4 linked regions of the Ovis aries genome follow. The protein of the gene in region 1 interacts with the protein of each later gene in a pairwise test. Links are inferred from orthologs where the notes say so. Each region holds a gene or a part of one and is shown in the gene's direction. Other genes may lie near its edges.

Evidence for each region.
Region 2: the proteins of MTUS2 (region 1) and GTPBP10 interact in binary tests that used the Homo sapiens proteins (3 or more experiments, as listed by UniProt). The two-hybrid records come from large-scale screens. The link is inferred for Ovis aries from reciprocal best matches to the Homo sapiens genes MTUS2 and GTPBP10.
Region 3: the proteins of MTUS2 (region 1) and TAF13 interact in binary tests that used the Homo sapiens proteins (3 or more experiments, as listed by UniProt). The two-hybrid records come from large-scale screens. The link is inferred for Ovis aries from reciprocal best matches to the Homo sapiens genes MTUS2 and TAF13.
Region 4: the proteins of MTUS2 (region 1) and CDK5R1 interact in binary tests that used the Homo sapiens proteins (3 or more experiments, as listed by UniProt). The two-hybrid records come from large-scale screens. The link is inferred for Ovis aries from reciprocal best matches to the Homo sapiens genes MTUS2 and CDK5R1.

Annotation. Positions count from the first base shown.
Region 1 is NC_056063.1:31,296,057-31,299,567, reverse strand, and holds part of MTUS2 (microtubule-associated tumor suppressor candidate 2), read left to right. Parts: intron 1-1,935; coding exon 1,936-2,033; intron 2,034-3,162; coding exon 3,163-3,376; 3' UTR 3,377-3,511. UniProt on the Homo sapiens protein: Binds microtubules. Together with MAPRE1 may target the microtubule depolymerase KIF2C to the plus-end of microtubules. May regulate the dynamics of microtubules at their growing distal tip.
Region 2 is NC_056057.1:76,144,357-76,148,557, forward strand, and holds the start of GTPBP10 (GTP-binding protein 10), read left to right. Parts: upstream 1-1,394; 5' UTR 1,395-1,460; coding exon 1,461-1,493; exon of another isoform or gene 1,494-2,510; intron 2,511-4,201. UniProt on the Homo sapiens protein: May be involved in the ribosome maturation process. Complements an ObgE(CgtA) function in E.coli ribosome maturation. Plays a role of GTPase in vitro. When missing, disorganization of the nucleolar architecture is observed.
Region 3 is NC_056054.1:86,377,828-86,381,927, reverse strand, and holds the start of TAF13 (transcription initiation factor TFIID subunit 13), read left to right. Parts: upstream 1-1,293; 5' UTR 1,294-1,337; coding exon 1,338-1,364; intron 1,365-2,159; coding exon 2,160-2,238; intron 2,239-4,100. UniProt on the Homo sapiens protein: The TFIID basal transcription factor complex plays a major role in the initiation of RNA polymerase II (Pol II)-dependent transcription.
Region 4 is NC_056064.1:17,453,833-17,457,999, reverse strand, and holds the start of CDK5R1 (cyclin-dependent kinase 5 activator 1), read left to right. Parts: upstream 1-1,360; intron 1,361-1,379; 5' UTR 1,380-1,515; coding exon 1,516-2,439; 3' UTR 2,440-4,167. Other genes in the region: proline-rich protein 2-like, read right to left, coding at 569-1,360. UniProt on the Homo sapiens protein: p35 is a neuron specific activator of CDK5. The complex p35/CDK5 is required for neurite outgrowth and cortical lamination. Involved in dendritic spine morphogenesis by mediating the EFNA1-EPHA4 signaling. Activator of TPKII.

The DNA of each region.
Region 1 (3,511 bases):
AGGTCCGTCTAGTCAAGGCTATGGTTTTTCCTGTGGTCATGTATGGATGTGAGAGTTCGACTGTGAAGAAGGCTGAGCACCGAAGAACTGATGCTTTTGAAGTGTGGTGTTGGAGAAGACTCTTGAGAGTCCCTTGGACTGCAAGGAGATCCAACCAATCCATTCTGAAGGAGATCCACCCTGGGATTTCTTTGGAAGGAATGATGCTAAAGCTGAAACTCCAGTACTTTGGCCACCTCATGTGAAGAGTTGACCCATTGGAAAAGACTCTGATGCTGGGAGGGATTGGGGGCAGGATGAGAAGGGGATGACAGAGGATGAGATGGCTGGATGGCATCACTGACTCGATGGCCGTGAGTCTGAGTGACCTCCAGGAGTTGGTGATGGACAGGGAGGCCTGGAGTGCTGCGATTCATGGGGTTGCAAAGAGTCGGACACTCAGTCGGACACGACACGACTGAGTGACTGAACTGAACTGAGGCACTCTGTGGGCATGCAAGAGTTCTCATTCCAGAAACCGTTCCAGGCAGGGGTGGGGGTGGGGGGCGGGAGAGTTGATTGCATCACTTCCCATTTCCTAGGAGGGCTTCCTTGGTGGTCAGATGGTAAAGAATCTCCCTGCAATACAGGACACCCACATTACATCCCCTGGATCAGGAAAGATCCCCTGGAGAATTAAATGGCAACCCACTCCAGTATTCTTCCCTGGGGAATTCCATGGATAGAGGAGCCTGGCAGGCTGTGGTTCATAGGTTCGCGAAGAGTTGGACACAACTGAAGCAACCTAGCACCACATGCATAGTGAATTACATCTACACAATTTATGTGCGTGCCTATATTGGATTCCTGTGTAGAATACACTTCTCATAGTGAGTGTCTCCATGCCCCTGCCATTGTCAGAGATGAGCCATGAGCACCCGCCAGGTCCAGTTTGGCTGGTGGATCCCCTGGTTCTCCCTGTCGGGTCCTCCGCCCTGCACTGGCACCTCTGGCAGTACCTGTATGTACAACATGACATTCTGAATTAATGGAGGGATGAAAATATCAATAATGTGGACACACTTTCCCTCCTGAGGCTCTCGGCAGCCAGGAACGTGCAGCTCAAGCCAGCTCTGCACAAGAACAGAAAATAACATCCTCCTCCATGGTGGTTATTCCTTTGAGACTTAATGCCCGCTCTCTGTCCGTGTGTCCCCACGGCCTGAGACCTAGCTGAAGTCGAGCTCCATTCTAAGATGAACTGAGAAACTCTTTTTTGAAAAGACTATGAAGAACTCCTGCGTAGGGTAGTTAAGGAAAACCACCACCCCTCTGTGCATTGGGCTGAGGTATCAGAGTGGAAGGACTGGGCTTTAGCCAGCTCTTCAGCAAGGCTCCCACGCCCACCTCATCTTTGTTCCCAGGAAATGCATGCATGCTAAGTTGCTTCAGTTGTGTTCAAGTCTTTGCGACCCCATGGACTGTGTAGCCCGCCAGGCTCCTCTGTCCATAGGTTTCTCCAAGCAAGAATACTGGAGTGGCTTGCCATGTCCTTCTCCAGATCTTCCGGACCCAGGGATCGAACCCGGGTCTCCTACACTGCAGGCAGGTTCTTTACCATTAGCACCACCTGGGAAGCCCCATAATTCATAATATATACCGATATATACACACAGACATATTATATACCTACATATATATAAGAAAGATATACGTATATATATATAAAACAGTACTTTTACAGTGCACTCTGGTATTTTTTATTCTGTTTTCTTTTGTTTAAAAAAGCAATGCTGGTCATGTCCCTCTAGCCTGGTTTTATAGCCAATGCATTGCAAATTGCAGTTTGAAAAACACTGTTTTAGATAATCCTTCAAAGCCCGGAAGCCAAGGGCACTGGTCTGTCGTCTCCCCCAGGGCCTGGCTGCGGAGCTCTTGACACTCCATCTTTTATAGGCAGAAAAGAACATCATCCTGGAAGAGAAGATCCAAGTTCTCCAGCAGCAGAACGAAGACCTCAAGGCCAGGATCGACCAGAACACCGTGGTCACAAGGTAGGTGGGCCTGGGTGATGGAGCCTCAGAAGCGCGTGTCCCAGACAGAATGGCTTTGCTCCTGACCTTGGAGGGCTCTGCTTTTGTCCTTGCTCCTCCGAGCCCCAAGGCTTCCCCACGCAGGCTCTCGGCGCTCCCCACGTGGAAGAAAGCATAGAACACACTGCTCTGAGCACCCAGCCAATGCCCTGGCTGCACGGAGCACCCTCCTTGGTGGAAAGGAGTTGGGTGGGATAAAGTGTGTGGCACAGCTGGCAGGGGCAGGGGCAGGAGTGGTGGGGATCGTGGAGGAGGTTTTGGAAGGGCTGCCCGCTGGGAGTTCCAGGCTAAAGAAAACAACCATGTGAGCCAGCCGACCCTGGGCTCCAGCAGTGCCCAGCTGCTGCCCCGGCACTCGGCCAATGGCAGAGGGGAGCTGCCCCAGCTGGAGGGCAGCAGGGAGGGACCGGACCATGCAGCCACTTCCATCTCCGTGCTCCTAACCTGCTCCGAGGCTCCGACTTCCAGGAAGGGAGGAGCAGCAACCCGGCTGCAGTGACGACAGAGGCACAAAACACATCGGGTTCCTTTCTACTTGGCGTGCATCAGCCGCAGACACCCATGGAGCATCTGTTACGGGCCGGGCCCCAGGCTGGGTGCCGAGCACTGGAGAAGGGACCGCTCTGGCCCCATCCTAGGGCTCTAGCTCCAGCAGGCGACCAGATGCACTGCCCAGAAGGTTGCAGTGCAAGCTGACTGCTGCCAGGGAGGCCCAGGGTGAGGGCAGGCTGCAGAGGCCGTCGGCACCACTGACTCCCCGGGGCCGTCCTTATGGCTCAGTGTCCCCCACACCACCTGCAGCTTTTGCTCTGTCCACTGGCCACCAGCGCCTCCCCTGACCCAGGGCAGAGGGACTGTAGGCGAAATCAGGTGTTGGCAGAGAGACTCTGGGAGAGGATTGTGTGGGTGGGACAGGTGGTGATTGTGTTTCAACCCCTGGGCTTGATCCCTGAGGTCCACAGGAACCCACCACACACCCCGTTCCCTGTGCGCCCCTGGGCCCGGCCGACCTCGGGCTCAGCGTCTTCTCTGCCATTGCTACTCTAACTGTTGCTTGTCCCCTCCCCCCCCCCACCCCACCCCCATGCAGACAGCTGTCGGAGGAGAACGCGAACCTCCAGGAATATGTGGAGAAAGAAACGCAGGAGAAGAAGAGGCTGAGCCGGACCAATGAAGAGCTGCTATGGAAGCTCCAAACCGGGGACCCGACCAGCCCCATTAAACTGTCCCCCACATCCCCTGTGTACCGCAGCTCCTCCTCCGGGCCCTCCTCTCCCGCCAGAGTCAGCATGACGCCCAGATGACGCCACCACGCTGCGGGCTGAGCTGCGGCGCCGGGTCCACGAGGGTTCCCACCGGTGGGGAGTGGTGACCGCCGCGTGCCGGCCCGCCTGGCCCCGCGCGCATGCCCAGTCGCTTCGTCGCGGCCTTTCATGCGC
Region 2 (4,201 bases), on another chromosome or scaffold:
TCATGTTCCCATGTAAATGTTATGACAAAGAAAACAATCTGGGCTTGTGTTCACTAGGAAATAAACCTTAGAAAATAAACAGATTGGGCTCAACATAATTCTGACATTATAAGACCTAGTAAGGATAATAATCAAAAAGGACACAAACGTTATTGAGTAATCATCCAAGTAGTAACAACCTAGTTTCCTTTATTTTTTGGCTGTCCTGCTGGGCTTGTGGGATCTTATTTCCCCCTACCGGGATTGAACCCGGGTCTTCTGTAGTCAAAGCGTGCCGTTCCTCACCAGTGGACCCAGGGAATTCTCAGCCTAACATCCTGATTAATTAAATGACAATTATAGTTTTATTGATGGGGGAGTAGAGAGCGGTTCAGTAGTAGGAAAAGAATCAACACAGAGAGGGATAGTTTCTACATCGTGTCGTAAATTAGGGGTAGAAATGGGAGGATTGTCTTAAATTCAGAAAGATGATAAGGATGGGAGAATAATCCAGAGCCGCCCAGCAGGACTGTGTATGTCCATTCTCCGCGTGAGGGCAGAAGAGGGGGTGGCTGGGCGGACTGCGACCCCGCCGCTATGCGGGTCCTGCCCTGCCTGAGGCGCGCTTCAGACGAGTTGGATAATGATGACCCATAATATCTATTGGACCCCTAGAAGCTTGGAGGAGGAAATGGCAACCCACTCTAGTATTCTTGCCTGGAGAATTCCATGGACAGAGGAGACTGGCGGGCTACAGTCCATGGAGTCGAAAAGAGTCTGACAAGACTGAAGCACAGAACATACCTAGAAGCTACTAACAGTTGCAAGATTCCTTCCCCACAGAACGCAATGAAATTCTTATATAACTCAGATCCTGACTGTCGGGTCCCAAATCGTAAAATAGCTCCTGGAAGCTTTTGCTAGACATTACTCAGCTGGTCAGTGAATTAAAGTTTTTTGTCTGTTTGTTTTCCCCAGCTGAGTCTGAGTTTTTCACGCGTTAGTTTTTACCGTCCGTGGGAGTTTTTTTTCCCCCACTCTGCTTCGCCAAGAGTGAAGAGACTGAGGTAACTTGCGGTTTCCAAAGCATAAGAACTCCTCCAAGGCAGCCCAGGTTCTAGTGCCATCCTATTCAAAATATTCCTGAGACAACCACTTCGCACCCGACTGTCCCCTGTCACACTGCCTCTCGACCTTTCCTCAGCGTTTTATTCAGCCTGCCGCCAAGCGCCACTTTCCACCTCCGCACAGGGTAAGGGGGGGTGGGGGTGGGGACGGGGCACTGCATTGCGCATGCGCATGTTTTTCCGAGCGCGCCCCCCCGCGCGCATTACGGTATGAATGGCTGTCAGGCACGAGGGGGGCGGGGGGAAAGCGTGCGAACACAAAATAGCTGCGTTGGTCGGCGGTGACGTAAAAAGGCAGCGCCGTACTTATGTGAGTACAGCTTCCGCTGGAGGGAATACTCGCCCTTCGCAGGCATGGTGCGCTGCAGTTGCGTGTTGTTCAGAAAGGTCCGTGACTAGTACCCCCTCAGCCTGATGTGCGAGGCCAGGTGCCTCTAACCCCACCTGAGGGTGCAGGTTTTTCGCTTTCCTCCTTCCCCACGTGTTTCTTCCTGGGGGCCTCTTTCTTGCTTTTTTCCTTAGTCCTTTTCGCCTCTGGAGAACTCGGGTTTGGCCTGTAATAAGAAAGGCGTGATCACCGATCTTTGTTAGGAAGGTTGTTTGGAACAGGGTTTGAGATTTTTCAGGGGATAGTGTGCACGTGAGATGGAGGGCTGGGATACTTTCTTGCCATTTAGGCATGCGATATGGTATAGGTGGAGTGTAGGTTTGACGTTTGACTCAAATACATATTTTCCTTCTTATAAGTAGTAATATCCATAATTTGTTTTTACATATTTTTTCTTTGAATGCATTGTTATTAATAACTTTCTAAAGACGATTTTTATCGGTAAACGAAAATAGGTAACTGACTTGCCGTCTTGCGAGAAGTGCAGTGTGGGTTTCAGAATCGTTTTTGTAAACAGTTCGCAGTTGCTTTCAGATTTAAAAACCACTATAAGATCCTTACTAGCAATGTTTTTTGAAACCTACTGGCAACATAGTTTGATCATTATTACTAAGGACGAGATTGGGATATTCCTTTTAAGTTTGGGTTCTAAATCTTTGATAAATCTAGAGCAGTAAAAAATGTCACATATTGTAAGGAACTTTAAAAACAAGTTTTATTTTTGTCGGAGGAAAGGCGTGGTCAGTGAAGTTTTACTTTTTTCAGCTATTTTCCAGAAAATAGGTGGTCAGAAGGAGACTTGTGAAGCATAGTAATTGGGCATATAAGGTAACTAACTAATCCTTAAGCAAAAAAAAAAAAAAAAAGGATGACTACATTTTTTGCTGGTTATATTATTAAAGGCTACTTGTGTAACTACTGCCATAGCAGGCACTGCCAGTCCATGTTTTGCAAGGGAAATCTGCCTCTTCATTTACCTGTGATGCATTTCTGATCTAGTCCTACTGAACCAAAGAGTAAGTTCTTAAGCTCTCAGAGAAAAATGTTCTGGCTCGCTCTTAAGTTGTTTTTATATATTCCTTCCATCCTTACTCTACTGTTTCATGACTATATTTCCATACTCAAATGAAAACCTGTTCTTTGAAACTTTGCTGTGTAACTTTCACTGCGATCTCAAGTCTAGACTGAGATTTACCAGTATCACCAAAGGAGCTTTTGATAAATGTGCTGGTTTACCCTAGTCTCATCCCCTTCTCCAAAGTATATCAGAATGGTCAGTGAAGTGTATGTATTTTTGAAAAAAGTCCCCAGATGTTTTTGATACTTAAAACTATATACTAAATGACTAAAAGATGGGACAATTATGAATTTAAGAAGTTACTCTGTAAGGAATTTTGATAGTCCAGGTGGCTAAGACACAGGATCTGACCAGTAGGAAGTTCTTGATTTAGTGAGGGAAACAGAAGTAAACCCTAGATGCAGTGGAGGATTTCTAGAGGCCTAATGGCAACCTACTCCAGTATTCTTGCCTAGTGAATCCCATGGAGAGAGGAACCTGGTGGGCTGTATGACTGCACAGTGTGTATATATATATATGTGTATAATAATAGATATATAATTAAAATTAGTGCCCGACTAAGCCAGTGGTAAATATTAAGTTGAGAAATTAAGAAATACATCAGAAAATAGGACATTTGGATGGGTTTATGATAGAAAAGAAAAAATGACATTGTAAATAGATGAAACAGCATGAGCAGAATGTCATGGAGAAGTGACAGTACATTTTGTAGTATAAAGAAAAGAGGAGGCTATAGGAGGGGTTGAGTGAATGGAAATGAAACTGGAACGGTAGGTTAAGAGCTTTGACTGTAGCACGGAGAACTTTAGACTTCATTTTGTAAACAGAAAAGCATGAATGATTTCTGAGTAAGGGAGAAATATGTTTAGAGATCAGATCAATTTTCAGAAAAGTAGCTCTGGCCGTGAGACAGAATATGTGTTGAGGAAGGAATGACTGGATGCTGAAAGACCAGTTAGGAGCTAATGTGAATGGTCAAGATACTAGAGCATGTAGTTGTTCCATAAAGGAAAAATAGTAGAGCTTCAGGGAGACAGGTGTAAAGATTCCCATATGTAGCCTCAATGAGTAGAGAAGCTTTAGTTTTATTATTTGAGAAAACATTGGAGGAACAGAATTTACCTAGGGAAAAGTTTGATTTTCAGTCACATGAAAGGTGACTGTTATCCTTTCAATACCTAAGATATATATTTGAGGGATTTCAAGTATAAGATACAGATCTTGTTTCAGTTGCTTTAGACTATTAAGCTTACATCTGGTGGAGATGTCCAACTCATTGGAATAGAGAATATCTCACCTGGGTGATAGTTACTGAGAAAGTACAGGGGAGAAGGTATTGAAAAGTGGGCCAATGTCAGACCTTCTGGTTAGGGAGGACAACAATTGATAATGGAAAACATAGAGTTAATATGGGAAAGTGAGATCAGACAGGAGGTAGACTAAGCAAAAACAGTAAATGTGGCATACAGAAAAACCTTTTATATTTTTAGGAGTTTTAGTGGCATCAAAGAACTAGAAAGGAGTTCAAACTTGGTAAGCATTTATGGTATCAGTTCAGTTCAGTTCAGTCACATCCAACCTGTTGCAATGCTGTGGACTGCAGCACGCCAGGCCTCACTGTCCATCATC
Region 3 (4,100 bases), on another chromosome or scaffold:
AATCAAGATTGCTAGGAGAAAATCACTAACCTCAGATATGCAGATGACACCACCCTTATGGCAGAAAGTGAAGAACTAAAGAGCCTCTTGATAAAAGTGAAAGAGGAGAGTGAAAAAGTTGGCTTAAAGCTCAACATTCAGAAAACTAAGATCATGGCATCCGGTCCCATCACTTCATGGCAAATAGATGTGGAAACAGTGGCTGACTTTGTTTTTGGGGGCCCCAAAATCACTGCAGATGGTGATTGCAGCCATGAAATTAAAAGACGCTTACTCCTTGGAAGGAAAGTTATGACCAACCTAGACAGCATATTAAAAAGCAGAGCCATAACTTTGTGAACAAAGGTTCGTCTAGTCAAAGCTATGGTTTTTCCAGTAGTCGTGTATGGATGTGAGAGTTGGACTATAAAGAAAGCTGAGCGCCAAAGAATTGATAATTTTGAACTGTGGTGTTGGAGAAGACTCTTGAGAGTCCCGTGGACTGTAAGGAGATCCAATCAGTCCATCCTTAGGGAGATCTGGCTGTTCATTGGAAGGACTGATGTTGAAGCTGAAACTCCAATACTTTGGCCCCCTGATGTGAAGGGCTGACTCATTTGGAAAGACCCTGATGCTGCGAAAGATTGAGGGCAGGAGAAGAGTACGACAGAGGATGAGATGGCTGGATGGCATCACCGACTCAGTGGACATGAGTTTGGGTAAACTCCGGGAGTTAGTGATGGACAGGGAGGCCTGGCGTGCTCTGGCTCATGGGGTCGCAAAGAGTCGGACACGACTGAGCGACTGAACTGAACTGGACTGCAGCCCGCCAGGCTCCTTTGTCCTTGGGATTTCCCAGGCAGGAATACTGTAGTGGTTTGCCATTTCCTTCTCCAAGGGATCTTCCCTACACAGAGATCGGACCCAGGTCTTCCACTGAAAGCAGATTCTTTACCATCTGAGTCACCAGGGAAGCCCTGGCAATAAATCATAGTGGAACTCTAAGTTGTTCAAATTGTTTAAATTCACCCCTGTCTAGCCCCTCAATGATCCAAAGCTTCACAGGACCGAATCAGGAAGCGGAGATCTGATACGCAGAAGAAAGCTCAAGGTGACAACGAGATACACGCCATCTAGCTCATCCCTTTTCTATGCTAATGTTTAATTCCTACTTTCCAAGACTTTATCCTTCGCTGTTCAGGTTTCACCGCTGGGCGGGAGGTGCTTGTTCCTCTTCCACAGGGGAGGTTCCGCTAGGCCCCGCCCCGGCCCCTCTCGTCACCGGAAATGAGGCAGCGGAAGTAGTAAAAAGCTCTCCGAGGAAGGCGGGCGCGCAGTGGAGGCGGCTGGCTGGTGGGATGGCAGATGAAGAAGAGGATCCCACCGTGAGTGACCGCCTCTGTTCCAACCTACTTTTTAATTTACTACCTCGAGCACAGTAGCGGAAGCATAGTGGAGAATTGGGTTTCTTTACCTCAGTGATTCTGCCGAGAGAATCGGGGACTTCTCCCCGGGCTAGCCTTTTTCTTCTGATTCATCCTTTTAGTAAGCGGGGCTGGAGGAGTAGGTGGCTCCCCGCCCTTTACCTTTGGTTCATATTTGCCAGATACCCTTTGAATCACCTAGAGAATCATCAGGGGGCAAAGCTAGTGTTTGTTAGGGCTCATTATGCAACAACAATTCAAGTGCTAAGAAAACTGTACACTTTACTGTAAAGTAGTGGAAAAATAATGGACTCAAGTCACTGAGCAAGTAATTGAGCCTCAGTTTTCATGTCATAAAATAGGCTTAAGGTTTACTTGAGGAAAGTTCTTAGCACTGTGTAGGAAATGCTTAACAAATACTAGTTTTGCTTGCTTTCATTCAATATCAACTCTTTTAATAGTAAAACTATCTAGAAATAGGCCAACTTAGTTTAAAAAAAGAATGTATGGTCGTTGGAACTCCCCCAGGAGAAGCAGTACGATGCCTAACGGGGCATTGTAGAAGCCACTCCTGCGTGAGTCTGAAGTTGGGCGAGATAGTTTTAATGCCCCCAAAATGCTAAAGTTTCATTGTTTTTTGCTGCTTGCTTTAGGCTTTCTGGCATGATACTGGTGTTGAAGATGTAAAAAAAAAAAAAGCTAATTATTAAAATGTCAGAAGCAGTGTTTGACATATCTATACGTTTTAACTTTCAGTTTGAGGAAGAAAATGAAGAAATTGGAGGAGGTGCAGAAGGTGGACAGGGTAAAAGAAAGAGACTTTTTTCTAAAGAATGTAAGTAGTACTTGAGAATGATTTTTTAATAGTTTCCTTGTAGGGACACTATTCTCAGACTTCCGTATAAATTCTGTTTAACCTGTGATTCATAGATAGTAATGATCCTAACCCCAATTTATATATTTAACCCCAATTTATATATTTATATATATGTGTGTATATATGGGCTCACACAGACATACGTTTTTAAATTTTTTAAGTAAATACATGTGATCAGTGTTTCAATTCAGGTCCCAAGTAAGAACGTACCTCCGTTACTTTACCTGTTCCTTACCTTTCATCAGTTGGAGCAGGGACTCCTTTGAATGTAAGCCGAAGGTTCTGTTGGACCCTGAACAGGTCTGAGGGTAGGAATTAAGTTGGGACTTTGAACTAAGGCAATGGACAAGGCAGGAAGATGGTGAACAATGTGAGGCAGTCCAGTGACATGGAGATCATAAAGTTTTGGGTCTATTCTCCTCCTTCAGTAGACGGGTTTGACCTTTTATGGCAGTGGCAAGAGGAGCTGATTCTATTACTGATGATTCAGGCCAGCCCCTGAAAGGCACCATGAGAACATGCTCTCCATCTTCCAGTCCTGGTCCTTTATACATAGTTATGGCTGAGTGTAGATCAGGCAACACATGGAACACTTGGTTTACTTATGCCAGTTCCGACATAAGCAGTTCCTAAATGCTCTTGAAACTACAGAGTCAAGTAGTTTGGTTTTTTAAGCCATTCAAATCCTTTCCTATATCTCAATTTCTCACCTAAAGTTGACTGCTCATTATTCCATTTCTGATGTTATTTACTCCATTCGTATATGGTTTTACGTCTTATGGAGACTTCCCTGTAGCTCAAACAGTGAAGAATCTGCCTGCGAGGCAAGAGACCAGGGTTCGATCCCTTGGTTGGGAAGTTCCTCTTGAGGAGGGAATGGCACTCCACTCCAGTATTCTTCCCTGGAGAATTCCATGGACAGAGAAGCCTGGCGGGCTACAGTCCTTGAGGTCGCAAAGAGTCGACACGACTGAGTGACTAACACAGTTACTTCTTAGGTAGGCATAAGAGGATTACTGCACCAGAGCATCGCATAGTGATGCTAGCATACTTCTTACCAGAGCCTTTGTTCCACTTGGATTTCTTTATTTTTATGATGACAAGAATTCGGAATCTTCACAGCTGTTTCTTTGTCTTACCTGAATTTTCATGTATCTTGACCAAGATCTGTTCTTCTAGACATTCTTTGTTTTAAAAATATTTTTTGCTAATATAACACAAGATTTCAAAGCATTCACTTCTCTATTTGTTTGTCTTTACAGACTCTTTAACCAAATACGGTTTACATACTTCCTATCTAATAAGTTTTTCCTTTTCCAGTGAAGTATGTTTCCCTACTGATGAATTCTCCCCATCACAATGTTAATGACAGTATTTTCCTCAAAATATTTAAGAGAAAATATTAAATTTATAGTGGAGAATCCAGTCCTGGCAGACATTACTTTAGTCAGGTGATCAAAGTTAGTATCACCAGTAATATATGTTGACATTAGGTACTCCTAATATGGTGCATTAAGGGGTCCATCATCACTCTGATTCCCTTCTAGTAATGCATAAGCACAACCTAATCATGAGGACACATCAGATAAACCGAAGCTGAAGGACACGCTACAAGATAACTGACCAGTATTCTTCAGAAGTGTCAAGGTTGTAAAAGACAAGGAAAGTTTGAGGAACTGTTACAGAACAGAGGAAACTAAGGAGACACGACAACTAGTGTGGGATCCTGGAACAGAAAAAGTACAGTAGTGGGAAAACTGGTGCAATCTGAGAAGTGCTGTACTTGTACCAGTGTTAGTTTCTTAGTTTTGATAAATGTC
Region 4 (4,167 bases), on another chromosome or scaffold:
AAATTCTGAGGTCACATTCAGGATGGGCTCAGTATTCGTCTGTCTCTGGGGCAGTGACGGAGCCAGGAGCCTCAGGGCCCTGTCCAGGTGTGGTGTGGGATGGCAAGTAGCTCCGTGGGACGGCCCGGAGCAGCCTACGCCTCTGGCCTGTATTTCTGAGACTTACCTGGGCGCTGGGCATTGACCCGGATGGGACAACAGAGGTCTCGGAGGGAAAAGCACTCTGAACTCATGGGACAGTCCCCTCCGGATGCGCGTGGCACTGAGGCCTCCCCCCTCCCCGCCCTTGCTCCTTGAGTCCCCTAGCTTCTGTCCCCGGGATCTCGGGCATTAAATGGAAGGAGGCTACTCGGGTCCCGGCCTCCGTGGACTGTTTCTCAGGCGGCCGGCACGCGGACGCGGCCGAGGTCGCCCCCGCCGCCGGCAGCTGCGGACGGCGCGGCGGGAACAAAGGCAGCACGTGTCTGGGCGGGGCGGCGGGCGGGGTCGCTCCCCGGCCCCGCCCCAGCCCTCCCCTCCCGGCGCTCCCCACCCGCCCGAGCTCAGCTGCGCGGTGCGCTCCCGAGTCTCACGCGGCCGGGCTGCTGCTGGCGCGGCAGCGCCGAGCGGGCGGTGAGCAGTGCGAGGAGGGGGCGGCCCCGCGGGGCGGGGCGGGGAGGTGCCGTGAGTCCTCGCCGCCAGAGTCCGGGTCCTGGATGGGGCGCGGCGAGTAGAGAGGCGCCCGGGGCTCGCGGCCGCGTCGCTGCCCGCACCGCGCGCCGCTCGTGCTGAGCACGGCGGCGGCCCCGGCTCCCGGGTGAGACCAGGCCCGGCCGGCGCGTGGGCCGCGCGCGCGCGCCCGAGAGGGAGGCCGCTGAGGTGCGCGCCGGGGCGGGCGCGGGCGCGGCGGCGGCGGCGGCGGCGGCGAAGGCGGCCGAGCGGGGGGCGGGGCCGCAGCGTCTGCAGAACCTTGGACAGAAGCTCCCGAGCCGCCGCCGCCGCGCGCGAGCCCCGCCGAGCCCCGGGACCGCGGCGCTGAGCCGCGGCGCGCATTGCGGAAGGTGCGGAGCGCCGGAGCCACCTGCTCGGTAAGCCTGCGCCTCGGGCCGCCCGCTGCCCCCAGGAGACCGGGGCCGCGGCCGCGCGCGGTGTCGAGGCGGGGTCCCCGGCCGCCTCCGCCGGCGCCCGGGCCCCCGCGCTGCCATCCGGACCGCGGCGGGAGCGGGTGCCGGTGCCGCAGTGGAGAGGCCGGGGTTGCGGCGCGGGGACGCGGGCGGGGCCGTGTCAACCGGGGAAGGCCCCGGGCGCGGGGTTGGGGCCGCGGCCGCCGAGGCCGGGGCGGAGGAGCGCGGCGCGAGCCCCGCCTGATGCTGAGAACCATCTTGTTTTTCCCCTCACAGATCCGGAGGGGCGGCACGCGACCTCGGGAGCGCCCCCGCCTCCCCCTGGCCGCCGCGGGCTCGGTGAGCTTCTTCCCTCCAGCCGGCAGGCTGGGCGCGCAGGGGCGCGGGTCCCCGCCCGGCGCGCAGCGACACCATGGGCACGGTGCTGTCCCTGTCCCCCAGCTACCGGAAGGCCACGCTGTTTGAGGATGGCGCGGCCACGGTGGGCCACTACACGGCCGTGCAGAACAGCAAGAACGCCAAGGACAAGAACCTGAAGCGGCACTCCATCATCTCCGTGCTGCCGTGGAAGAGGATCGTGGCCGTGTCGGCCAAGAAGAAGAACTCTAAGAAGGTGCAGCCCAACAGCAGCTACCAGAACAACATCACGCACCTCAACAATGAGAACCTGAAGAAGTCGCTGTCGTGCGCCAACCTGTCCACGTTCGCCCAGCCCCCGCCGGCCCAGCCGCCCGCCCCCCCTGCCAGCCAGCTCTCGGGTTCGCAGACCGGGGTCTCCTCGTCCGTCAAGAAGGCCCCGCACCCCGCCGTCAGCTCCGCAGGGACGCCCAAACGGGTCATCGTCCAGGCGTCCACCAGCGAGCTGCTGCGCTGCCTGGGCGAGTTCCTCTGTCGCCGGTGCTACCGCCTGAAGCACCTGTCCCCCACGGACCCTGTGCTCTGGCTGCGCAGCGTGGACCGCTCGCTGCTGCTGCAGGGCTGGCAGGACCAGGGCTTCATCACGCCGGCCAACGTGGTCTTCCTGTACATGCTCTGCCGGGACGTCATCTCCTCCGAGGTGGGTTCCGACCACGAGCTCCAGGCAGTCCTGCTGACCTGCCTGTACCTCTCCTACTCCTACATGGGCAACGAGATCTCTTACCCGCTCAAGCCCTTCCTGGTGGAGAGCTGCAAGGAGGCCTTTTGGGACCGCTGCCTCTCCGTCATCAACCTCATGAGCTCCAAGATGCTGCAGATCAACGCCGACCCCCACTACTTCACGCAGGTGTTCTCAGACCTGAAGAACGAGAGCGGCCAGGAGGACAAGAAGCGGCTCCTCCTCGGGCTGGACCGGTGAGCCCGCCAGCCTGCATCATGGCTCAAGGATTCAATTCATTTTTAAAAATTTATTCTTAAATCAGATTTTGTGTACAGTATGTGTCTAGCAAAGCCACCAAGGGCCTCTCCCTTCCCACCTCCCCTCCTTGGGGTTTTCCTCTGCCCTGCCAAGAACCCTGGGCGCTTCTGAACTCCCAAACCTCGTGCAACATTCAGAAGATGTATTCAGAGCCGCCCTGGCCCCGACCTCTCACTCTGGGGAATTGAAAGGACTGACTGACCTCTGCCGCCTGCGCCCTTGCTGGACCAAGGCAGGGAAGGCGGCCCACAGCCAGGCAGCCCAGGGAGGAACTGGAGTTTCTGGTTGGAGGCCTTTTGCTGGCTCCTGTTCTGGGTCGTCTGTTCTCCCAGAGGCTCCTGGAGCTGGCCACCTGGACTGCACCGCACGCGGGCTTAGGAGGCCGAACGCCCGTGGCTCCAGGACAGCCTCTTCAATTGAGGGGAAGCCGGCCTGATGTGAAGATCATGTCCTCTAATTTGGCCATGCACGACCCTGGTTTGCTCTTTTTTCTTTTTTAGGGAGAAGGGCTTTCCTTTCGTGGAGACATGGAACCGCCCCCCACCCCCCAACCTCCCTTCCTTCATCCTCCACCCCCAGCCCTGTTGGTAGTGTTGGTTAATGAGCTGGTTTGACTAAGTTCTTTCATTTTGGGTCCCGGCTCCCAAGGGGTGGGGTGACGCCAGGGACAACTCCTTTCTTGGGTGAATTTTTCATTTGAATCATGCAGCTTAGTCACCCCGTGGCGAAGGCCAGGGCAGCTGCAGGTGCCCATTGTCAACAGCCTGCCTCCCGGGCAGGTGGGGCTGCCATGCCTGGGACTGAGCAAGTGCCCATGACATTTGCGCCTGTGGAGCTGCAGGGGTTGGGGCGGGGGCAGGGGCCAGGGTGATGTGGTAATGATGCACCCCTCCCCTCACCCCCTGTTGATTTAAAGCTGTTTCCAAACAGTTGAGTCTCTTCTGAAGACGAAGCCTTGTCCCAAAAGGCCCAGGGAGACAGCTGGATCTTGGAGACAATTATGAGCCGGGAGTCGAGCTCCTGACTGCCTGCTGATTCTCCCGCTGGTCATTTGCAGCTGCCGGTTTGGGTCTCCACCTTCAACCTCAGTGGCTGTAAAAAAAACCCATGGTGTGTCACTTAATTTTCTTTCTGATTCTCCCAGATCGGTGGCTGGGGGCTTGGGAGAGGACCCAGAGAAGGGAACCAGCCTTCCGCGATCCCTCTGGCTTTGGGGAACAAAGACTGATGTGAAGGCCTACAGAGAATTCTCTCTTCCAGTCTCAACCCCCCAAGGGGGGCTGGAAGGGGAGGCTGGGGGTGAGGGAGGCAGGGGGCCGTTTTACAGAGGATTAGCTTCCAGGTGGCTGCCGTTTCAGCACAAGCACTACTGAAATTCACATAAAAAAGAGAAAGCTGTGAAACAGGTCCCGATTTAATAGGCCCAGCGTCGAGCCTGTGGCCCTGTGGTGCTCGCGAGAGCGAGGGCCTGCCCCAAGCTGGGAGCACGGGCCTCAGCTGCGCCCCAAGGCCCATGCCGAGCCGCTCCCGGGACTGCCGGCCAGATTTACCTGCCGCAGGGCTGGAAGGAGCCCGCGGCTGCCGGCGGGGACCTCGCGTGCAGAGCCTCTTCCCCGCGGGAGTTGTCACACGGCCTGTCTGTGCGGATCCTGCTGCCGTGTGTGACCC